Linked DNA regions of Nothobranchius furzeri. The protein of the gene in region 5 purifies or fractionates together with the protein of the main gene of each other region. This does not show direct contact. Links are inferred from orthologs where the notes say so. Each region holds a gene or a part of one and is shown on either strand. Other genes may lie near its edges.

Region 1 (2,664 bases), on a different chromosome or scaffold from region 5:
CAACGTTCTCGTCACAGGAAATACAGAACAAATCTGATAAACCTAAATTAACCCAATGGTGACAAGCACTTACCGTTCATCCACGCACACACTTAACATCCCGGTGCTGCTCCTCGGGCAGCAACATACTGCAGAGAGGAACCCAGAACATAAACCTGAAGCTACATGAACCTAAAGAGATGCACGTATAAAGGCTTATATATCTAAGCATGCGTCCGGTCACTTCAAAATAAAGTAACAAGGGAAGATTGGTCGCAAAACTCAAGACTTTGAGGGCTTTGCTACAGTTAGAGATGGTAGAAAAGAGATTGCTAACATTTTGAGTGGGTGAGGTTAACCAGTCTTTCCATTGTAGGGCTTTGTGCTATTAATCAGTAGCCTAGTGAACTAGACCAAATTCTTGCTTTGCAAAGTTTGGTCTAGGCACGCTCCACTGGAACCTCAGCAGCTCCTACCAGGACTCTGGCTAGCCAATCACAGCTCTCTAGAGGGGTTTCAAACACATAAAGAGCTGTGATTGGTCCATAATGGTGGGCCAGTCATAGTGCTCTATCTGCTTAGTGAATAAATCACAGAGCTTTATCCGCTTTGTGGGCCAATCAGGGCACTCTATATGCCTGGTGGGTGGGATGATGCAACAGAGTGAAACAAGAGTATGTCACATTCATTGCAGTGGAATGCGGAGATCATTTAAAAGACAACGGTAGAACCCGCCCCACAACCGAGAGCCGTCAATGGAGCATGGCCAGACTAAATAATACATTTATTTAGTCTGGCTTGCCAGGCTAATTAATCAGGGCTCTTGGGCCATTGTGAGCCCCAACAAAGTTTCATATGTAGAGGCTCAGAGAACAGTTTATTATTGTTAAAGTTGTTCTAGAACCCATTTAAGACCAAATTCAACATAGACATTTAATGTTTAGAGCTAAGGTTGGCAACTACCTACCCAGAGGGTCGATATCCAGCATGTTTTAGTTCTTTCCTTGCTCCTAAATACTTGATTTGATGGTTGAATCACCTGTTAAGCAGCTCATCAGGCTCTGTAGAAGCCTGTTAATCATTTTCTGACTCAAACCAGGTGTGTTGAAGCAAAGGAAACACTAAAAGACCCTTGTATTTAAATTTGCTTTTACTTAAATCTGTATAATGACTTTTGTGATTTTAATGATCTTTCATCTGTTTTCTGTTTTTGTGTGTGATTTTTTTATGGCCTTGTCCTTTCATTTAAATCTAATGTTTTAATATTGTGCAGCCTTAGTTGTTTCCATAAAATATTGCTCTAATTTGCAGAACTAGCAATGTAAAGCAGTTTAAAATTACTTATTTTGCTCCAACTTCAGGGCTCTACTGGCAGTCAAGTACCTCAGAACAAATACGCAGAGCTGCTGGCCATCATCGAAGAGCTTGGAAAAGAAATCAGACCCACATATGCTGGAAGCAAGAGTGCAATGGAGAGACTGAAAAGAGGTGAATCAGAAAAACCTGAGAGGAAACGGGTGAATTAAAGCGCTGCAAGTGCCAAAATGTATGAATGAATCTAAATGCGTTTGTTTGTTTCTTAGGCATAATTCACGCCAGAGGGCTGGTGCGTGAATGCTTGGCTGAAACGGAGAGAAATGCAAGATCCTAGCTGCAAAGGCACATTCCTCCCTGCAAGAAGAACTACATTTCATAAAAAAATTCAAAACAAAACTTGCATGGCATCGACTTTGCAAGGAGGATATAAATGAACCAGGATGGAAAAGCAAGTTTTTAGAGGAGAAACAAAATGATGCCTAAGGAGGATCATTCCAACCATGTGAATGGGTTAATGGGAATCCGCTGAGAAGGCACGTTGTGTTTTATGCCCCACTTTGGGATATTGGTTTGACTTAATATCTAAATCATTGGTTTTTGCATGCGAGCGGACCTGTGGGTTAATTGTAGACACTGCATGGCTTGTACAGAAGTAGATGGAAAAGACTTCTTTTGTTCTTTTGTTGCTGGTATTCGGTCTGATTTTCAGATCCTCTGACACACGATTGAGTTGAGTGATGTGCCAAATGCATCAGCTCATCTGTGATGAAGTTGGTTTTGGTATTAACAAAGAAAAGGAACATGCTGTAACTTGCATCTTTGTATGTATTTATTACTCAGTGTAATAAATTGTATTTTCAGTACAGTGGACATTGTCATTCACTGTGTTTTCGTTTTAAATGAATTGGGTTCTTGGCACACGGGCGGGTCAGAACCTTTGTGAAACTAGAACTCACTTTGCTATAACTCAATGATTTCAGTGGCTTCAGCTTCATTTGTACCAACCATGTTTAGACATAATGGAGTTTTTACCACAGTTTAGGATCAACTTGACCTAAATAGTAAAGTTATTACTATTTATAACGGATTTTACTCAAATTTGACTTTAGATTTAAAAATCTATGGTCGTTTGAATTATTTTTTTAAAGAACAAGTCACCCCCAACCAGATTCTTATTCAACTCCCACTTCCTGTTTGAAAAATGCAACAAATGCTGTTGCCTAGCAGACCAAGAGGATGGAGCCGCTAACAAATACACACACTCATGACATTGTGACATCATAATGTACCATCTAACATCATAGTGGACCTCTTAGCCAATAGCAATGGCAGATTTAAATTCAAATGCAGTGCTAAGGTTTTACCAGA
Region 2 (4,152 bases), on a different chromosome or scaffold from region 5:
TATGTATATACATATATATATATATATGTATATACATATATATATATATATATATATATATGTATATAGATACATACATATATATATATATATATATATATATATATATATATATATATATACGAGTAACTAATGATTAGAAATAAAACTAATAAAGACCTTCCTGGGCTTTTCTGGGCTCGGAGGATCCTCCACTGCAGCTTCAATCTCACTTGCAGGAATCCACGTGTCATAACTAAAAACAACAGAAGGGAACAAAATACACATCAAGGCTTGTGAGAATACCACACAAGGAGCAATGTGTAGGTTCAGTGAGCTCACAAAGAAGACCGTTTAGGACTCATTCAATGGTAAAAACGCGTGTGCCGCTGCTGTGTTTGAAGCGCCAAGTCAGAACCAACCTGTCTGGAAAATATCCCCAGTGGAGGAGGACCTGCTTGTCTCTCTTCATCACAGGACGCACCCACTCTTCTGGACCAACAAATATCATGTTGTATTAGAACTAAAGTGGAAAAGCAGCAGAATTCATAAGAAACCCGAGCTGAGCAACATAACAAGGCTTCACCTTCCTCCAGACTGGTGGGGATGGGAACCACAACGTGGGAGCTGGAAGCCTTGTCTTCAGTCACGGAGCCCTGCAGCACAAAAAGGCTGTGTGGATTATACATGCACAGCAGAATAACACTTTTGTTTAAAAAAAACTATGCAAAAACCAACCTGATGTCTTTTAATGATGTCTTTCAGTTTTCCAAGCAGCTTCGGTTCAATGTCAGAACTCAGGTAGATGATGGGTCGGCTCAGGCAGTTGTTCTACAAGAATCAAGGAGAACCAGCTCAAGTTGTAACTCTAGTTTTATGGTTCAAATCCTATAAATGAGCATTTAAGTGTGTCTGATTCAGAGAAAAGGCTGTCTTTTGTTATTTCTATCTTTAAATCTCACCACTCTGATTCTAAAGACACTTCCTAAACGTGATGTAAAAACAGGAGACAAGCAGCGTTCCCAGCACAGATAACCTATTTAGATCGGCTACTCGCAGAAACACAAAAGAAACAAAAACCTCAATGTTTAAATGTTTAGAATAAATCAGAAAAACCCCACAATTATCTGACAAAGATGAAAAACAATTATTACAGCATAACTGTCCAAGGAATGAGTTTTAAAAGCTTAACGGTGAATAAAATCAGTGAGAAAAACTCACCTGTACTAAAGATTTCTCAATTGTCATGAACATTTCCACATTTCGGTCCATCCTCGATGGATTCTGGAAGTCAAACCTGCGCCTACCAGGAAATTAAACTGGAGTTACACACAAAACAGCAGGACAGCCTAAATGCAGCAGAGCACTGCCACTTTTATTTCACTCAAGATGCATGATGAGACCAGTCAGAAAGAAGCTCTTACCATCCTTGGTCACTCTTGAACTTGTAGGCAGCAGCCAGAATGTGGCAGAGAGCCCCCCCTGATTTAAAGTCTAGAAAACACTTCATCTGCAGAAAGAAAATAAAACAGCTTCATATTACATCGCCTGAGGGCAAAGGGGTGAGTAATCTGTTAGAGAGAGGGGTGGGGGTAAATAAGTGTGACATACCGGCAGCTTAGTGAGGGGAGGGTTGCTGACATGTCTGCCAAACACCTCCTCCTGGAACTGGAGCAGCTGGACCACCAGGCTGGACAGGGATTTGTTGGTGGGGGGCTCGGCCTGGATGTACTGGGGAGATGGGAAAAACTTATGGGAACTCTGGAAGTTTCACTTTTATCACTATTCCTGTGTATGCATCTTTTATTTATGGGTGTAAATAATGTAGATGGATCTGTATGTTTATCAGTTTATATAGTATTATTGCTGGGTAAACTCAGTATATTTCTCATTCCTCGCTTCATATGGGTGTTTTATACATTAGCAACACTATATAAATAAAGCATTTATTCCATCGTCCTTTTGTGAATCCTATCTCATTAACTGTCTATTGCCTAAATCTCTGCATTCTTTTATACACATGAGCAGTGTTCACATATGTGTATTTGTTTGTTTCTTATTCTAGTCATTATTAAAGTGTGTTATTGTAACTGGATAATGGAGACTTCGGTGGACAAGGAAAACTAGATTTCTTTCGTAAAAAGCTTTAGATCTTTTTAAATAAAATGTGATTAATTCCACAATTATCCATCATTAATGAATGGATACTTGTGACTTTTTTGATCATTAACACCATGTTTTGTTAAATCTACGTGATAAAGCGCTGGTCAGTGTTATTTAACACCGCTCATGACTCCAGAGCCAGAGGCGCGCCACACAGCCAACATCTGGATGTGAGCCGCGTTACCGTTAGCCGATTAGCTTAGCTAGCCTGCTTTGCCAAAAATATCTCTTTTTCTAAACTCCGCTCCCTCCGGCGGGACTGTGTGGTGTCTTTGGATCCTTTTGGCTACAGCAAGACCTACAGACACCGACTTTTGCGGCCGCGTCTGATGTTGCGGTTGGCTCAGCATCCTTTTTTAGTGAATCAAACAGCTGGACGCTCAGCAGCACCCTCCCTCCTCTCTTTGTCACTGCCTCTGCCTCCATAGGTAAGCGCGTACGTTTCTGGGCAAAATAAGAAAGCTCCGTGAGCACGCTTATAAAACATGCGCTCAGTACCTTTTTGTAATTCTTGCCCAGCCAGACGCGGACATTATCAAACTGCGAAACGGTGTCAGATGCTTCGAAATATTTTACATTGGGGCCGCCGTCTTTCTTCCGCACCGCCATCTTTGCCTGCAGACTACCAGTCGGTGTTGGCTGCCTCCTGGCGGACAGAGGGCGTCTCTCCAATAGCTTGATAGCACAAAGCGCTGTGTCGACGGCAGACGAGCAGCAGGGGGCAGAGTTGTGCAGATAATAATTTATCCTGCAACATAGTTTAAAACCTGCTTTCAGCTTGTAAGAAAGTAGTTGCACAATTTACACTTTTTATAATCGTGATTTTATTAATAGGTGGAGCTGCGTTGATTTATTGCTGATAAAATACATTTGCACATACAGACTTGATCTGGAAGGGCATAAAACTGTGCATTTCATGTATGTTCCCATTTGTGCTTTTTTTATAGCCCATTTTATCCAGAAACCCAATAATAAAACAAATATAATTACTATATTCACACATACACAAACAATCCACTTACTTTTAGTCATTTTGAAATTTGTAGTAGCCATTTTTTCTATTATTTGTTGATAATTATAATTTTTTTCTCTTTGTTTCATTCAAAGTGTCAAAATATATATATATATACAAAAAACATACAAAAACATGCATAAACATGAACACCAAACAATTTGAATGAAAAGGGGCAGAAGGAAGAAATATCTTACATTATCTACCCCTATTGACAAACCAAACTTTTTAATAATGCTTCCATACAATTCTCAATAAACAACAAAACAAAACACAGATTCATTATATATTCTTGTAACTTACAGACCTAATCAGACACCAACTTAATTTAGGTTATTGTAGTTCTGTAATACACTTGATTTGATACATTTTTTTAATATATTTAGTGACTTTGATTCTTTTATGTCTTTGCTAAGGTTGTTCCATATTCTCAATTGCTTATTCTTGCTCACTTTAAATATATTTTTAAACATTTTCTAAGTGATTTTTTATATTTTTACAATTTTTTATAGTTTTTGTTTTTGTGAAGCGCCTCATGATTTTTATCTTGAGAGGCGCTATAGAAATGATATTTTCTTCTTCTTCTTCACGCCATTTACAGAGATAGTCATTTCTTTCATTCTGGTTCTAAATTTCGTTTTTTTAAATACTTCAGTTCCTTTAAGAAATAATTACTGACTCTTTTTTCAAACATTTTCTGAATGTTGGTGGGTAACGTATTGGTTTTAGCTTTATACATTGTTTGCAATATTTTCATTTTCACTAGATCATAAAATTTCATTAGTTTATATTTGATGAATAACGGATTGGATGGATCTCCATAGTGATTGTTATTAATGATTCTCAATGCTCTTTTCTGTAGAATAAAGAGTGGTTGTGTATGAGTTTTACATGTGGATCCCCATATTTCTACACAGTAATTCAAATATGGAACAATTAGTGAGTTATACTAAGTCAGCAATCAGAACTATTCAGTAAAAACTTAACTTTATGTAGTA
Region 3 (3,500 bases), on a different chromosome or scaffold from region 5:
GTTGAATAGAGCAGGTGACAGTATCCCCCCTGGTGCACCGTTACTAACAACTAAGGAGGCTGATGTGGGATTGCCCCATTTCACTTGCATTGTCTGATTAGAATTGCCAATATGCCAAAATCCTCACAATGATACCAGGGACACCTATTTCACTCAATTAACAAAAGAACTTAAGAGTGGTTGACCTGATCGAATGCCTTAGATTATTGTAGGCTAACTTGTGCAATATCGTTGCATCGTGATATTTTCGTATCGTGAGACCTGTACCGCCAATCGTATTGTATCGTGAGGTACCCAGAGGTTCCCAGGCCTACCAGTCAAGGATACAACCATAACTTTAAACTAAGAAATTACTAGGGATTCAACATGAAAGGTAAACAAATACTTTTTACTAAACTGTGTAAGAAATGAACTACTAGCCACAACGTTTCTTACTAAAAGAAAAGAAGTAATATTAGATCAATATTGGTATTAAAATGTAATATCAGAAATTATCTTTCGGTTTTTACAATTAAAACTTTTACATACCATACACACGTTATACATCAAACTCTTCAGCTACTTTTCCTTTTTCTCAAAATGTTGAAATGTGACAGATTTGAGGTTTAGTTTTTTGATCTATTCAGGAAAATCTGTCCCAATTTTAAAAAGAAGAAAAGGTTTGTAATATTTGTGTCTGAAAACAGGAAGTATGGCTGTTTAAGAGGATTAGTGAGTTTGTAATATTTAAATCAAAATATGATTGATGGTACTCTACTAATATAGAAAACCAGCATTATGGTTGTGGACAAATGTTCCTTATCCATGAGGTAAATGTTTATTCTTAGTCTTAACCTTTAATTATCTAATGTCACACCGCACCAAAGGGATAAATGTTTGAGTTTAATCAGTTTTTAGATTTATCTGTGTGCTTTGTAGTTATTTTTTATTTATTTTAAAACAAAATGGGAGAATTTCTCAGCATGTTTTCTGGTGTAATTTGTTTCTCTGTACTTTTGCAGAGGAATTGGAAGAGGAGAAGGAGAACCCCACAGAGACAGAACTAACAGAAAAACAGAAACACCAGCTTCGCCACAGAGAGCTCTTCCTCTCCCGACAGTATGAGAGCCTACCTGCGACGCATATTAGGTATTAAACTTAAAGGGCAGCATGTCGTCTGCAGGCAGAACCCACGGGTGGTCATTTTGCCACAAACGCATCATTGCCCACTTTCTTTTGTCCGTGTTTTACATGCTACGGGCCTCCTTTTCTCTCTTCTCCATCAGGGGGAAGTGCAGTGTGGCATTGTTGAACGAGACTGAAGCCGTTCTTTCATACCTTGACAAAGAGGTGAGCCTGAAGGGTGAAAAAGGATGTTTGTTTACTTTGGAGCACATCATATGTAGCAGGTTTGCTCTAAACTACACAGAAAACTCTTCTGGGTTCAGTTGAATAAGTGAACGGAGTTTACAGTCACTGCACGCATTGCACTACACCCAGTGATCACTGAATATAAACCTCTTTGAAGTTTGCAGAAATCCAAAGGGTTCGTTTATTTTCTGAGGTGATTAAGTGCCAGATGAAACCAATTAAACAACCAATTAATATACTGGTAATTATGTAGTTTAATACATTCAGATTAAAAGTCACACATATTTATTGAAATGAGCATCAATACTAAGGATTTGGGGTGTATATTGGCAGGAATGTGGTGATACAATAGTTATCACAATACAGGGACAATACCATATATTACGATACTAAAAGCTGATAAATGAAAATTTTACTACCTACATCTAAGATGCTTCTGGTATTATCGTGAGATCTTGTTAGTTAGAATGATGGCGGTAAAAGATGCTGCCACCTAGCAGTCGGAGTGTGAATTGCACCTCACAAATGAAATGCGGTAAGCTTTTGCATATTATTTCTCAAAGTATGGATTCACAGCTTTTAAATATCGGTTCTGTTTGATAAAATGCATAATTGTGGCATTTCAGCATATCAACATTTTCTTACATTGTAACCAAGCTTGTCAAATGGTGATTTCTTGACTTCATAAATAATAAATTTTATTTATTTATTTTTGTTTGTCAGGATACTTTCTTCTACTCACTGGTGTACGACCCGACACAAAAGACTCTGCTAGCTGACAAAGGAGAGATCAGAGTGGGACCACGCTTTCAGGCAGACGTGCCTGAAATGCTACAGGAGGGTACGATGTACAGTTTTCTGCCAATCCAACAATAATCTGATAGAAATGAGTCACACAAAAAGCAGATATGATCATATTATATATCCTTCTCTTCCTCTTTAATATGCAAATATGTTTCTGTGCATTCTCTGAGGTACTTCCTGTGTTTTTGCAGGTGAGGCAGATGACAGGGACCAGTCCAAACTAGAAGAGAAACTCTGGGACCCTGAGTGTCCTCTCACCGACAAACAGATAGATCAATTCCTAGTGGTGGCACGGTAGGTCTCCTTTACCCTGCTGCAGACCGCTTCCTGAGAGAATTCTCACCAAACTAAAAACAGAGGATGTTTAGCCCATTGTGACCTCATCAATCTCTGTTTGAATAAAATGTATTTATTTATTCTTTATTTAACCAGGAAGGTCCCATTGAGATTAAAAACCTCATTTGCAAGGAAAGTCCTGGCTAAGAGGCAGCAAATCCTTTGAACTTCTGACTAACAGTAAAAATGCACGTGTTTGAGATAACTACACGTGCATTTTACTTCCAGAAAAAGTTAAAAGGGGGGTTTGATATTATTTTCAGCCTTGGGTCCATAAGCAGTATCAGGTTAGGCTTCATGCTGCATAAAACATATTTTTACACCTCTAAGGTTGTGTTTATGAAAAAGGTGATGGGATTGTAGAAGAACTACTGATACATGTTCTGCGTTTCCTGTGTGTTGGTGGTTGCTGCTTTCAGGGCGGTTGGGACCTTTGCCAGAGCGTTGGACTGCAGCAGTTCAGTCAGACAGCCCAGCCTACACATGAGTGCAGCTGCAGCCTCACGAGATATCACACTGGTGAGTTGGAGCCGCTTTCACTCTGCACCCACTTGATCAGAGTTTGATTCATGGATGTTAACCCGCTTTCCACGGTTTCAGTTCCACGCCATGGATACGCTGCATCGTCACAATTACGATCTGTCCAGCGCTCTGAGTGTGTTGGTCCCAGCGGGGGGTCCAGTGCTCTGCAGGGACGAGATGGAGGAGTGGAGCGCCTCGGAAGCTGCCATGTTTGAGGAGGCTTTAGAGAAATATGGAAAAGACTTCAATGACATACGACAAGACTTTGTAAGTATTTTTTAGTGAACTCATGATGATTGACATGCTCATAAACAGCATTTGACGTATTATGTTGCAGGAATATTTCATTGTAATTGTGTCAATTGAAGCTGTTGTTCTGTGAAAGGACACGTTTGGCCATTTTAAATCTCACCTTTCCAACATTTAGGGGATGACCGATTCTTTTGAGCTCTTTTTTTTTTACCCGGTACTGTACAAAGCTGGGATAT
Region 4 (4,269 bases), on a different chromosome or scaffold from region 5:
GACTCCTTTGGGCTGCTCAGGAGGTAAAGTAGGGACTGCAGAGCTGAACAGTTCAGGATCACCTGAAAGGATAAATAAAAATCAGATTCAAATCAGAACATTCATGTTTATTTAACAGTTTGTGTTGATGATGTCATTACTTGTGTCTGCAGATCATCGCCAGTGACGATGTTCCCAACAGCCCGCAGAGCTGGAGACACCACTTTATAATCAGAGTGCCTAAAGGGAAGGAGATGTGTGGATCATATGAAAGAATCTGGGACTGGACACACGCTTCTACAACACGCTGCAGAATAAAAAAGTTTCAATTCTTACATCAACAACTCCACTAGCCTCCGACAGACTCCTGAGTCAATAACAGCCTGGATTTTGTCATTAGGCCCATCAGATAGGTAGGACAGTGCCCAGCATGCATCAGCCAAGATGTCTGTGTCGTTAACAAACAGCAGCCAGGACAGCACACAGAGACATGGGGACACCTGGACGGGGCAAGGAGGAGAACATGAGGAGATTTAAGAGGAAATTTGCTTTTGGATTCAATTAGAAGACCATCCTGCCTGTGACCTTGAAATGTGCTCTGATGTGCAGTTGCCATAGCGATAGTATATCTTGGCAAATTACCTTAGCAAAGTCTGGGGGTGGGTTCTTTCCTCTACACAGGTTTGAGAGCGCCCACACGGCGTTCCTCATCATCGTTAGGCGATTCTGTTTGGCCAATAACCTAAAAGCGGGATTTAACAAAGCAAAAATTCCTAAAGATGCTGTTTTTTCCATTTTTATTTTCTAAAATTATACAAAGAGATCAATGACGTACTGCAGCAGGGAAGGCAGGATGTTGCAGTTGATGACAAAGTTTCTGCATTCTGTGCTGTCACCTGCTATGTTACCCAATGCCCACACTGCCTGAGGAGTGAAACAACTATTCATTTTAGACAACAAGCACTACATGAATGTATGATTTTGTATAACAAGAACATCACAGGCCAGTTCTTGCATGTTTTTGTTAAAAAAAAGTTAACAGATATAAGGTTGTTGATGCAGAAATAAGCCTGAAAACTCGACCAACCTGTTCCTGAACGTCTTCAAAATCTGAGCTCAGCATCTCTATGAAGATGGGCACAGCTCCAGCCTGGATCACAACCCGCGTCTGGTGGGATGTCCCTGAAGCAATGTTGGTCAGCACCCAAGCTGCCTCAAACTACAAAGATAATTACAAAAAAGGCTTAAATGTATTAAACCATGAGCAGAATTAGAGACACCATACAAGGCAGAGAGAGGATGCGGTCCAACACGAGGAGGAAATTTTATTTAACTTTGGGAAATAAACCTGCAATGTGCAATTTTCTCTCCTCTTCAGAAACTCAACAAAACACTCGACCACCCCCGGAGTGGCAATAACTTCGTCGATGGGTGGGTTGGGTTCTGCGCAAGAAAAACATTTGTAGGAATGTAACCACTAAATGTTTCAACTCAGGTAGTAAATCATGATGTTTTGAAACAGGGTGCATGGTTTAAAATGCACACATTTAAAAAAAGGAAAAAAAAAGCCAACCTTTTGAAAGAAGCTTCCTAAAGCGCTGAGTGCCTATCAACTGCTGCTCCGGAGAGCTGGAGAAGATCATCTGAATCATGTCATCAGAGATCACCCCACCCTGTGAGGTGACAAAATAAGAATTTATTTGACATGTGATTTTAAACGGTAGTAAAATAAATATATAAATAAAAAGAGTTGATTGCAGAAAAAGAAGGAATATTTTCCCACCATTAGTGGGTCCAGGTTGTTAGCCTGAGATTCCAGATAGCCACTATCAGCCATTCCATCATCCTCAAGGGTGCCCTCATCCTCCACAGTGGCAACATTCCTCCTTTTAAAAAGCTATAAAAGAACAAGATGCTTATTTGGTTGCAAATTCTGACATTTTATTCATTTACGGTCACATTAACCATTGACTTACTTGTTCATCCTTCTTCTGTTTCCTAAGTTGCAGGCCTTCCTCTTCCCTCCTCCTCCTCATCTCATCTGTGTTAAGAGACTTGTTTTTGTAGCTCTTGAGTCGTGCATTGTCCTTACTTTGACTCATAGTGATGCCTGAGAGCACAGAAATACCTATGATCGACACAGACTTGACTAGGATTAGGAGCCATTGTTTTAGCATAGCTGGATCAGAGCAGATCCTAATCTTGGTTTTAGCCTCCTTCATGAATTAAACGTCGCCCAGTATCCTCTGACAGTCATAGCAAAAGGTTGGGTGGATCACACTGCTACTTCAGCAGTCTCTTTCACAGTCAATGAGTAGATCATTCCTCTAAACAAACATTGCTTCAGCTAAAGTATTAAGAGACCTTGCTAGCAGGTTAGCATTCTCTGAATTTACTGCGTGGGCTGCAGGAAACCAAACATGTCAATTTTGGTGAAGAAAACCTGTCGAAGTCAACTGACACTACTAAAAACACAAGGTAGTACTACAGCAACGTACAGACAGGGTCAGGCTGCTTATATCACAGCGGGTATTAGCCTCCTACTCAACTCCGTAAGCTAGTGGCTAGCTGGATGTTAGCTTAGGTCGAGACCAAGCTTAGCACTGCGGACAGTCTGGCGTTTCCCAGATGTCTCTGGCAAAAATGGTAAAACATCTTGTCAATGTAAAGGCTTTCTAAACATAATAAATAAAAAAGTGTAAATGTTTTACTTATTTTACCTATCGGGTTGTGCTCGTAATCCCCTTGTTCGTTAGGCCACCGTTTGTACAGCCGTCACCGGTAAATAACTACGCATGCGCCTCGAGGCACGTACGAGGAGTCCTCGTACGCTTCTGTGGCCACGCCCACACGAGGCTTTTGTTTTGTAAATATGACGCTTCCATTGATTAAAAGGGTGAAAACGTCTTCAAAAGTGAAAGTGTAGGTCAAAAGTTGAACGTGTTAAGGTTCAGAAGCCAAAAGAGTCATCCCACTCACAATTAGGGGTTGACAGATTTGTTTTAACTTCAAAGAGCGATGCGTTCTGTCAGTTTTACTGAACATTTTTCAAACGGTGCAGGTGTTTATTTTGAAGTGTTTTAGATGAGACACTGAGGCGCCAAGGATCATTAAGGGGTTAACGGTGGGTCGGCAAGGTAGCCACACATGCACATAAACACACAGGAACACACACATGCACACACACTGATCACAGTGTATGCAAGACATTTTCACCATCACTTATTATTGTTGTTTTCATGTTTTGCTTTTGTGATTTGTCCTTAAACTACATTTACAAACTTAGGCAACACATGCAATTACAAAATCTAAATATTAACATCTAAATGTGTCACAGGCGCAAATATCGAAAAGCGTGCACCAGAGCAAAACAGGTGCACCTTTTTAAAGTTTGGAAAAAGATAAAATATGCGTTCATTTATAATTTTTAATAATCAAATTTTTGCACAAGTATTCAAAAATAAAGATCATAAACATCTTAATCCACGGACTACTCTGTAGTAAAGTCATTGTTTATATTTTGTTGATTGGGGCTTCAGGAAATAACAATAACAACATTCCACAGATTGTAGTAGGCCTACATTGTGAAAAATATTTACCTTTGCACGTGTTTTAACATTTTTTTTACCTAAATAAATGCAACTGCCCTTAAGTGTTCAAACAAAGCCATTACCCTGCACAACCCAAACACCTGCAAGACATCAACATTGTTGCAATTTAAAACGACTTACTGGCGCCTATAAATATGCAACGATGCTCTCTAACGCAAACCATTGCACATTTTTGTTCCATAAAGATGCAAGGTGGGGTGGACGTCCAGAGCTCGTTCCTGCACGGTGGCGACTGCTTCGACATGTGGCATGATTACATGAACCTGAGCAGCCTTCTGGAGAAGCGCGACCAGAGGGAGGTGGCTCCAGAGGAGCCCGAGAAGGACCCCCATTGGCGACACCTCCAGACCCCATCCAGGCGCAGGACTTCCAGCATCTCCGCAGAGACTAGTTCCAGCAGCAGCAGCAACAGCAGCAGCAACAACGGGGCTTCTGCAAGCAGCTGCAGTTTCTGCAAGCAGAACGGAGAGTCTCCTAAGGTGTACCGGTCCCACAAGCTCAAATCTGACGACGGGAAGGTGCTCTGCCCCGTCCTCCGGAAGTACACCTGTCCCAACTGTAAGGCCACCGGGGACAGAGCGCACACACGCAAGTACTGTCCTGGAGACAAGCGGCAGGAGGCTGCGAGGGTGCTGTCCGGATTAAAGTTCTGGTAGCATGATGCTGTCAGCTGGAACAA
Region 5 (2,181 bases):
TAAACCTTCTGCGGTTGCAATCCAAGGTGGGCAAGGTTTTCTCTGACCCTATCGCTTTTCCGTCTATCTTCTTTAGACAGCCAATGCAGGAAATAGAGGTAGGACTATTTTCACATTCTGCATTCATGCGAAACCCAAAGTGACTGGTGGCATTCCATAAAGAACAAGTTTTACAAGGTTTCCCAGTGAATGAGAACATTAAAATGTATCCATGTTAGCTTAGAGAAAGACAAAACAAACTGAATTAGTCTTTAGATTTAAGTGTACAGGCATCCGTGTTGTTTTCCGTAAAAGTAAGATGTTCTGTAGTTAAATATCCTCTAAAAATGAACTAAATAAACTAGGTTTTGGCTTTTGTACCACATATTGTTAAAGGAGTTCTCCAAGGAGTTTCCAAAATGTCTCCAAATGTTCTCGAGCGAGAGGCAGGGCCTTGCATTTGTCACTTAAAAAAAATCTAAAATATTTAGCCCAACAATTTTCCTCACAGGTGTTCTCAGTCCAGTTCCTGTGAGAAAGAGCTAGTGACCAAGTTTTCTTACATGACCCAAACTTATAACGACGCATTGTTATTAAATCTGATTCCAGCTGAAATGTCTCAGACCAGTGAGAAACTGGCTTCAGTGTAATGTCCGGGTCAACTTTCTTTGGGTTTGTTGGTGTTGCTCTGAAAAATGTACCTCGTAATGAAAATGCATCCTAGTCACAAGAGAATCACTAGGTTCATTGCTCCCAGGCTTTGATCAATTATGGCTAACTGTGCTTCACACTTCTTATTGCTGAAAAATGACGAAAGTGTCTTCCAACGTTTTACAGGTCAGTTTGTGGCTGTTTGGTTGTTTTTGTTGGCCGAAATTAGCCTCTCCGTGAAGGTATCACATCATCTTCTGATGTAGCATTTTCAGTGAAGTGCAACAATGCACTGAACGCTCCGCAGAAACACTGTCTTGTGTTGGGTATCACAAAATCTGCAGACAAGTTTTGGAAACCCCATTTCTGCCATCAGGAAGTAATGTATCTGCCTTGAAGGAGTCCCACACTTTTTTTAGACAAAGCTTCGTCTTTTAGAGGTGCTTAAATTAAAGTGATGGAGTGAAGCGCATGGGTCTGCAAGCACCTGCCCCCACCAGCTCCGGTAGCTCTATCTCTGACCTCCCTGCAGAGGGACTAAATCTCTACAGGAGCCTGTAAAGTGTCTCATTATCCTGCTGCCTCCACTCTCCCAGCCTCCACTACAGTCTGCCGCTTGTCTGCCCCCACAGAAGCCGCTGCTGGGGCCACCGGGGGAGCTGCAGGTGGAGCCGCCGGGGGCCAGTTCACCGCTGGGGTTTTCCAGAAGACCAAGGAGCATGATGTGGTGCAGCGGCAGCGGGTGGTGGACCTCTGGAAAGACGGCAAGTCAGAGGGGGCCATTGGGCTGGAGCTGAGAATGCCCAAGTCCACGGTGCACAGCATCATTGTAAAGTACCGGCTCAGCAACACGGTGGAGAATCTGCCGCGCAATGGGAGACCAAAGAAACCCTGAAAGAAATCGGGAATGTAGCAAAACTGTAAAAAAGAAGGAATTGGATCGACAAACGAGGCACTTAGACACTCCTGGAATGAGAAGAGCATAAAAGGAGGACAGCTTGATGTGAGAGGGCATGAAATGCCAATCAGTTAAAAGATCCAAAGAAAAAAACTGGAAAAGGTGCTGCCGAAAAGAGGCTCTGAGAAAGAAAACGATACGTTAATGCATTCACGGGTTTTTATAACAAATGCAGCAAAGGAGCACTTTTCTCTCCACAGATTTCTAAGACTTCTTTTGTTTTTTTTCTGTTTCTCCGTCTGAGCCAAAAGACCCCCCCCCCCCCCCCCCCCCCCCCCCCGGATCAATTCTTCATCCTGAGGCTGACTGAACAAGCCTGTCCCCTCGCCCTGACCCCGTACTCCCTCATTCCTCCACACTCCTCCATCTCCACACACGCACACGCTTTTGGATCTCACACACAAAATAAAGCCCTGCAACAAACGTCGTCAATGTGCCGAGAGCAGGGAGACGAAACCCGGAAAGAACAAAGCCGGATCGAGATCATCAGAAAGAAAAAAAAGAAAAGTCTTCCAAATTTAAAGCACTTCTCCCCGTGGACTCTCGCTGTAGCATTCCTAAGCTCAACCAAGCGTAGATGCAAGATGTTAGAA
Region 6 (3,901 bases), on a different chromosome or scaffold from region 5:
CCCCTCTTCCCCTTCTGCCGGTCCCTTGTTCTTCCCCAGCACAGTATGGCCATGGCTTTTGGGTTCGGTGTCTGCAAATGACTTTAGAAGAATGTCCTTCACTGGAAAGAAGAAAGGAAAAGAAACGCCAAAGATGAAAGAGGGAGCACATTTGCAAGTGGCGGATGTGTCTTATTTTGCATAGCTCTCGCTTCTGCTTTCTTCTTCTCTTTTTCTATTCACCTGAGCGGATTTAAATAAATCCATGAAGCGTGAAATATCAGAAATAGAAAAGTAATGCATGAAATGCATTTTCAAAAGAGTCTCCCCTCCCACACACAAACAGGCGTAGACAGTTCCTCCACGTGTTTCGTTTTCCCGTGGACGGGTGCTTTTTCTGATAAAAACCGCTACAGTTTATTAGCGTGCGACCTCTTGTTGGCGTTCTGTGCTAATAAGCAGCGTCCCATACATGTCCTACTTTAGCTTGGCTAATTCTGCAAACAAGGTATTGGAGGGGAGATGAGTGTGTTTAACCAGATTAGGCGTGCATTGTCAGGCAAATCTCAGGTCAGCCCACAAGTGCAATTGAAAGTCAATTACTGTCTGAGTGATTTCCACGTTGTTGCTGTTGTCTGTTTAATCCAGAGTTTAACAACAAAATCACACTTGTTCGTTGTAAATATTGGTTTGTGTGACAACACCACTGAAAATGTGCGTTTACACCGAATTCCACTTTAGTCATTCGTTATGGAAATCAAATATGATGAATTTAGAAAAAAAGGTGGAAATGAATGATTTTGATGCTGTTGTGTGATTTTTCAAATCTTTTCATGAACAAATCTGCAACCATGTTGGAATGTGACACACCTGCTTTGTCTTGCATTGGTTTAAATTTAGGTTTTCTCTGTGTGTCTCCTTTTGTGACAGATAAAGATGAGCCCAGCAGCTACACCTGCACAACGTGCAAACAGCCCTTCACCAGTGCCTGGTTCCTGCTTCAGCACGCCCAGAACACCCACGGTTTCCGCATCTATCTGGAGAGTGAACCTGGCAGCCCCCTCACCCCTCGTGTGGCTGCGGCTCCTGGGATGGGGGGCGATTGCGCCTCCTCCCAGCCTCCCCTCCACGCTGTGCACTTGGCCGACGGCAGCCCTTACAGCCTTCTGAAGATGCCGGGTTCTGGGTCTGTCCGGGATTCGGCGTCTACACCTCGCGAGGGTCGATATCCCAGGACACCCCCGCTGTTCAGCCCACCACCACGTCACCACCTTAGCCCCGATGACCTTGCCTTGGCAACCCACCATCCTAGCGCCTTTGACAGGGTGATGAGGCTGAACTCGGTGCCATTAGAATCCCCTCAGAGCATGGACTTCTCTAGACGCCTACGGGAGCTAGCCGGCAATGCCACTGGAGGTTCTCCGCCTCTGTCCCCTAACAGACCCAACCCTATGCAACGGCTGCTGCAGCCATTTCAGCCAGGTTCCAAACCTCCATTTACAGCCACGCCTCCCATGTCCACCTCCCAGTCCCCTTCTGGATCCCGCTCTACCCCTAATCCTGTATCCAATGCAGTCCAACCAGGCACCCCCGTCAAGTCAAAGTCTTGCGAGTTCTGCGGGAAGACCTTCAAGTTCCAGAGCAACCTTATCGTGCACCGGCGAAGCCACACAGGGGAAAAGCCTTTCAAGTGTCACCTCTGTAATCATGCCTGCACACAGGCCAGCAAACTAAAGCGCCACATGAAGACGCACTATCAAAACAAGTCTTCGGCGCTAAATGCCAAGTCAGACGACGGCCTCTCCACCGCCAGTTCTCCTGAACCTGGCACCAGTGAGGTGGTGGGCAGTGCCGCGGATGCCCTCAAGTCAGTGGTGGCCAAGTTCAAGAGCGAGAACAATGGTCTCATGACTGGAAATGAAGAGGAGGAAGATGAGAATGAGGAAGAAGAAGAGGAGGAAGAAGATGAAGATGAGGAGGAAGAAGAAGAGGAAGAGGAAATGGATAGAAAGCCTGATGTAGAAGAAGATGGGAGGAATGACTACCGTTTCAGCCTGCGGTTAGAGGGGGCCCGTCACCACCAGAACACTGAAGCTCTACACCCACATCGCCGAAGCTCGTCCCGGGAGCCCGTTGATGACGACTCAGCCGTGGAGTTGGATCGTGGAGACGATGGCTCCACCACCACCCTCAACGGCCTGGGACCGTTAAATAATGACAAGCTCTCCAGGAAGCTTTTGGGTGGTGGGATGAGTCCTGACTCCATCAGCTCACTGTCAAAGCGCATCAAGGTGGAAAAGGACCTTGACCCCCCAACGCCCACCATCCCAAACACAGAGAACGTCTATTCTCAGTGGCTAGCTGGCTACGCGGCTTCTCGGCAACTCAAGGATCCCTTCATCAGCTTCACAGGTGGGGACTCTAGACAATCACCCTTTACATCCTCATCCGAGCACTCAGAAAACGGCAGCTTGCGCTTCTCCACTCCGCCTGGTGAGCTGGACGGTGAGCGAGCCGCCTCAGGACGCAGCGGCACCGGCAGCGGGGCCAGCACTCCCCACGGCGGCAGTGGGAATGGCAGGCCGAGCTCCAAGGACGGTCGCCGCAGCGACACCTGTGAATTTTGTGGCAAGGTGTTTAAAAACTGCAGCAACTTGACAGTGCACCGCCGCAGCCACACTGGAGAGCGGCCGTACAAATGCGAGCTGTGCAGCTACGCGTGCGCCCAGAGCTCAAAACTCACCCGCCACATGAAGACCCACGGACAGATGGGCAAGGACGTGTATAAATGTGAAATTTGCCACATGCCTTTCAGTGTGTACAGCACTCTTGAGAAACACATGAAGAAATGGCACAGTGACCGCCCTCTGGCTAATGACATTAAAACTGAATAGACAAAGAGCAGTTCTCCTTCAGCTCCCCCGGCTAGAAAGCAACCCTGCCTAACTAGCCAACAAGCATGTGGGGGAGAGACCACAGGGTCAGACACCAGAACACAGTGCAGCCCTGCTTTCATCCTCTTCTGGAGAAAGCTAGATGCATGATCCACGATCGGGGCAATACTGATGCATCACAACTTTTTGAGCCTTTCTATTGTGCAATAATTTACACATTTTTGTATTTTTTGTAACTGGACAGCATGCTTGGTGTGTTTTGGCTACTTAGAGAGAGCAGCTTGTCCGTGGCTGGTGTGGGTTTGGTTGTACATGTGTTGCTGTTGATACTTTAGGTTTTTTTGACATAAACAAAAAAAAAGATTAGTCTAACCCAAGCTGCGTACGGTACACACAGTTTTACATATCATGTGCAGTTTTGTGTTCAAACATAGCAGACGGTGTCATATTTTCAAAACATCAAGACAAGCAGGGTTAAACATAAATCCGATCCGGGGTTTTCCCCCAGAAAATGAGTTAAGCCTGGCGGAGGGGGTGGGGGGTCGCGCGCTCTGTCCCGCAGCGCTCCTCCGTGAGGGTGGGGGTGGGTGCACACGTTCCGCTGCTGTTTCTCACCAGTATCAGCTGATGGAGGGCTCTAGTTTCGTTGCGCCGTTCGTGTCAGCGGACACAGTAGGGTCGGGGGAGGGGTGGGGTGGGGCATGAGGCTTAGCCTGGCGGGTGGCCAAGCAAAGCCTGGCGGGCCGCCAGGCTTATAAAGTGCTGGGGGGAACCCTGCGATCTTTGTGAAAGAATTACAATGCAACACGGAGAAGAGATTTATCTATCTAAATGTACATAGAAAATCGGCTGCCTATTGAATTTTAGGTACTGGCGCCATTACGTGTTTCTTTTACGAACATCAATGAAATTAATAATGTGGTTTGAAATGACAACAAAGAGTGCCTTGGATACTTTACTTGCATTAGTTAATCCTCCTTTTTGCTATAAGCTTGGAGTTTCAGCTCTAAAGGGTTACAGGACATTGT
Region 7 (2,199 bases), on a different chromosome or scaffold from region 5:
CATTGTTATTATTCATAGAACTATGTTTATTTACATGTCTAAAGGGGCAGCAGTAGCTCAGGAGGTAGAGCAGGTTTCCTCATGATCGGAGGGTCATGGGTTCCATTCCAGCGCCCACCAGGGGTATTCTGCTGTTGTGTCCTTGGGCAAGGCACTTCACTCAACTTGCCTGTGTTGGTGGTGGTCAGAGGAGCCGACGGCGCCAAAAGGCAGCCTCGTCTCTGTCAGACCTCCCCAGGGCTGTGGCTACGTAGCAGATTACCATCACCGGCAGTGTGTGAATGTGAGAGTGCATGTAAGCGTCTTTAAGTGTCCTTAAAAGCTCTATATAAGTCTGATGTATTATTATTATTATTATTAATCACAAGGATCCATGTGCATGTCTACAGTTCCAGCTCTGAAGAGAGATTTCTCTCTGCGCCTCCTGATGCCTTTTAGAGATCAACATCTTCTCCTTAAACCAACGCCTAGATCACAGACAGATAGGAGGACATGTCTAAAGATGCTGAAAAGTTCTGCGTCTGTCTTTAGGGACACTCCAAACTTTTATTTATTCCTGTTATTTTTTGTTTCTGATAACAAAAGAGTTGTTCTCACTTGGAACCACCAGGGGGCTTGTGAGTTATTGTTTGGGTGTTCAGCTGCATCAAGTCTCCTGCTCCGTTTTGTTTTTAGGTACCAAATCCAAAGCATTGACTCCACAGTGGGACATCATGGCCAAACGCGTTGGAGATGCAGGACGGCCCTCAGCCTCACTGCAGGATGAAGTTCATGAGCTGGACTGAGTCTGTAGGAGCCAGCGCCACTGAGGTGAGACTGGTGGGTCTGACTGGTTTCTGTGTGGTCCATTTTCCTTTATAAATACTCATCCAGTATGATAACATAATAAGTAGGAATTAAAGTTTATGAAAGCAGAAGGTTTATTACCTTCTAAGAGGTGGTTTAAAGGAACATATAAAGATGTGCTCTGCCAGAAAAAGGGGAGTTTGTTCCAGTTTAATGGACATAAAACATAAACCAGACTAATGCCTAGTTTATGCATATGAGTCGGTACGGAGACACACAACGTCATTATCCATCCTCACAAGGCCTCTCCAGCAGGCTCGCAAGGACGGATGAAGTCAAGCCCACTTATAAACATCCGTCAAATGAGACAAAGAATGCAAGCTTGTGATTGGTCTGGACACCGCTTTTGTCAACAGCGCCGCCCATGCACCCTCAAAAACATAGAGAGAGCCGAAGATATCTAGCAACAGATACGGAGCAGCTTGAAGAAAACCTCACGGAAAAACTAAAAATATGAACATTTTATTCACCCGTGACTGTAGGAGTAAAGAAATACGCAGCAAACGTTTTATTCGTGGATGGGACTGAAGGGGAACGTGGGTTTAGAGGGGGCGAGCACATGAAGAGGTGGAGGAGAATGAGGGACACATTAGTCTGTTAAAAAGTCTCTGAAATGCAAAAACACAATAAACACAATAGTAAATGTACTATCGTGGACCGGATACCACAGAACAGCGCTACGCCCTCCGTTGTTCTGGCGGGGAATTGCTTCGCAGCACTCTCCAGGAGACGGAGAAGTCCGAGAGCAAAACGTTTCCGCCAGTTTGTGTGCGTTTCTCTCTCGTGGAGCTGACAAGACATATAAACTGAGTCAAATACAGAAAGAAAACTGGAAAATTGATACTAGAAACACTTGAGTGTAAAACTGTTTTCACCAAATCGTATGAAACCTTGCAAGGCTAACAGAATCCTCACTGGCATCTGGAAGCAGGCGTGAGCACTTCTCAGCTTAGCTTTGGAGAGTCAGATAGTAATGTGTGTTCACAGGAGGCAGTGCCATTCTGTTTATCCACTGCAATCATAACGCTAGTAGATCAATGTGTCTTCTCAACAGATCTAAACATCATTTTCTGTGGATTTCAACATGTTTATGGTGGAAATGGACACATTTACACATTTCCTGTTCAATTACATAGCAGACATCAGAGGTGAAGCAGAGATTAGCGATGACTGGTGCAGGAAGTTGGCCCATCCCTATTGCTGTCTCTCTTTATGTCACCAACATACATGTTTAATTCTGCATGTGCTGCACATGCTGAAGACAAAGGGTAGCGGAGACACTCAACCGCAGTTTTCTGGCCAACCTCCATTAGCTTCGGTTAGCTCAGCTAGCTCATAGCTACATGTGCTGGT

Evidence for each region.
Region 1: the proteins of chd3 (region 5) and cyclin-dependent kinase 2-associated protein 1 purify together in Homo sapiens (affinity purification with mass spectrometry; 6 studies listed by BioGRID and IntAct, with this or other methods). This does not show direct contact. The link is inferred for Nothobranchius furzeri from reciprocal best matches to the Homo sapiens genes CHD3 and CDK2AP1.
Region 2: the proteins of chd3 (region 5) and smarcc2 fractionate together in Homo sapiens (co-fractionation; 3 studies listed by BioGRID, with this or other methods). This does not show direct contact. The link is inferred for Nothobranchius furzeri from reciprocal best matches to the Homo sapiens genes CHD3 and SMARCC2.
Region 3: the proteins of chd3 (region 5) and mta3 purify together in Homo sapiens (affinity purification with mass spectrometry; 4 studies listed by BioGRID and IntAct, with this or other methods). This does not show direct contact. The link is inferred for Nothobranchius furzeri from reciprocal best matches to the Homo sapiens genes CHD3 and MTA3.
Region 4: the proteins of chd3 (region 5) and kpna1 purify together in Homo sapiens (affinity purification with mass spectrometry; 3 studies listed by BioGRID and IntAct, with this or other methods). This does not show direct contact. The link is inferred for Nothobranchius furzeri from reciprocal best matches to the Homo sapiens genes CHD3 and KPNA1.
Region 6: the proteins of chd3 (region 5) and B-cell lymphoma/leukemia 11A purify together in Homo sapiens (affinity purification with mass spectrometry; 3 studies listed by BioGRID). This does not show direct contact. The link is inferred for Nothobranchius furzeri from reciprocal best matches to the Homo sapiens genes CHD3 and BCL11A.
Region 7: the proteins of chd3 (region 5) and mta1 purify together in Homo sapiens (affinity purification with western blotting; 7 studies listed by BioGRID and IntAct, with this or other methods). This does not show direct contact. The link is inferred for Nothobranchius furzeri from reciprocal best matches to the Homo sapiens genes CHD3 and MTA1.

What each region holds. Positions count from the first base shown.
Region 1 is NC_091746.1:75,840,991-75,843,654, forward strand, and holds the end of cyclin-dependent kinase 2-associated protein 1, read left to right. Parts: intron 1-1,340; coding exon 1,341-1,467; intron 1,468-1,562; coding exon 1,563-1,630; 3' UTR 1,631-2,164; downstream 2,165-2,664. UniProt on the Homo sapiens protein: Inhibitor of cyclin-dependent kinase CDK2. Also acts as a component of the histone deacetylase NuRD complex which participates in the remodeling of chromatin.
Region 2 is NC_091743.1:50,346,100-50,350,251, reverse strand, and holds the start of smarcc2 (SWI/SNF complex subunit SMARCC2), read right to left. Parts: upstream 2,801-4,152; 5' UTR 2,752-2,800; coding exon 2,641-2,751; intron 1,711-2,640; coding exon 1,591-1,710; intron 1,490-1,590; coding exon 1,404-1,489; intron 1,283-1,403; coding exon 1,201-1,282; intron 811-1,200; coding exon 718-810; intron 636-717; coding exon 566-635; intron 472-565; coding exon 402-471; intron 236-401; coding exon 160-235; intron 1-159. UniProt on the Homo sapiens protein: Involved in transcriptional activation and repression of select genes by chromatin remodeling (alteration of DNA-nucleosome topology).
Region 3 is NC_091756.1:43,855,651-43,859,150, forward strand, and holds part of mta3 (metastasis-associated protein MTA3), read left to right. Parts: intron 1-1,001; coding exon 1,002-1,128; intron 1,129-1,265; coding exon 1,266-1,329; intron 1,330-2,073; coding exon 2,074-2,191; intron 2,192-2,345; coding exon 2,346-2,448; intron 2,449-2,909; coding exon 2,910-3,009; intron 3,010-3,090; coding exon 3,091-3,279; intron 3,280-3,500. UniProt on the Homo sapiens protein: Acts as a component of the histone deacetylase NuRD complex which participates in the remodeling of chromatin.
Region 4 is NC_091747.1:50,442,547-50,446,815, reverse strand, and holds the start of kpna1 (importin subunit alpha-5), read right to left. Parts: upstream 2,801-4,269; 5' UTR 2,700-2,800; intron 2,458-2,699; exon of another isoform or gene 2,317-2,457; intron 2,090-2,316; 5' UTR 2,082-2,089; coding exon 1,956-2,081; intron 1,877-1,955; coding exon 1,763-1,876; intron 1,653-1,762; coding exon 1,553-1,652; intron 1,423-1,552; coding exon 1,328-1,422; intron 1,199-1,327; coding exon 1,067-1,198; intron 904-1,066; coding exon 815-903; intron 722-814; coding exon 622-721; intron 480-621; coding exon 316-479; intron 220-315; coding exon 141-219; intron 63-140; coding exon 1-62. Other genes in the region: nanos homolog 1, read left to right, coding at 3,776-4,246. UniProt on the Homo sapiens protein: Functions in nuclear protein import as an adapter protein for nuclear receptor KPNB1. Binds specifically and directly to substrates containing either a simple or bipartite NLS motif.
Region 5 is NC_091742.1:58,681,412-58,683,592, reverse strand, and holds the end of chd3 (chromodomain-helicase-DNA-binding protein 3), read left to right. Parts: intron 1-1,262; coding exon 1,263-1,525; 3' UTR 1,526-1,681; downstream 1,682-2,181.
Region 6 is NC_091746.1:23,955,025-23,958,925, forward strand, and holds the end of B-cell lymphoma/leukemia 11A, read left to right. Parts: intron 1-909; coding exon 910-2,873; 3' UTR 2,874-3,401; downstream 3,402-3,901. UniProt on the Homo sapiens protein: Transcription factor. Associated with the BAF SWI/SNF chromatin remodeling complex. Binds to the 5'-TGACCA-3' sequence motif in regulatory regions of target genes, including a distal promoter of the HBG1 hemoglobin subunit gamma-1 gene.
Region 7 is NC_091758.1:21,719,414-21,721,612, reverse strand, and holds part of mta1 (metastasis-associated protein MTA1), read left to right. Parts: intron 1-675; coding exon 676-785; 3' UTR 786-810; exon of another isoform or gene 811-814; intron 815-2,199. UniProt on the Homo sapiens protein: Transcriptional coregulator which can act as both a transcriptional corepressor and coactivator. Acts as a component of the histone deacetylase NuRD complex which participates in the remodeling of chromatin.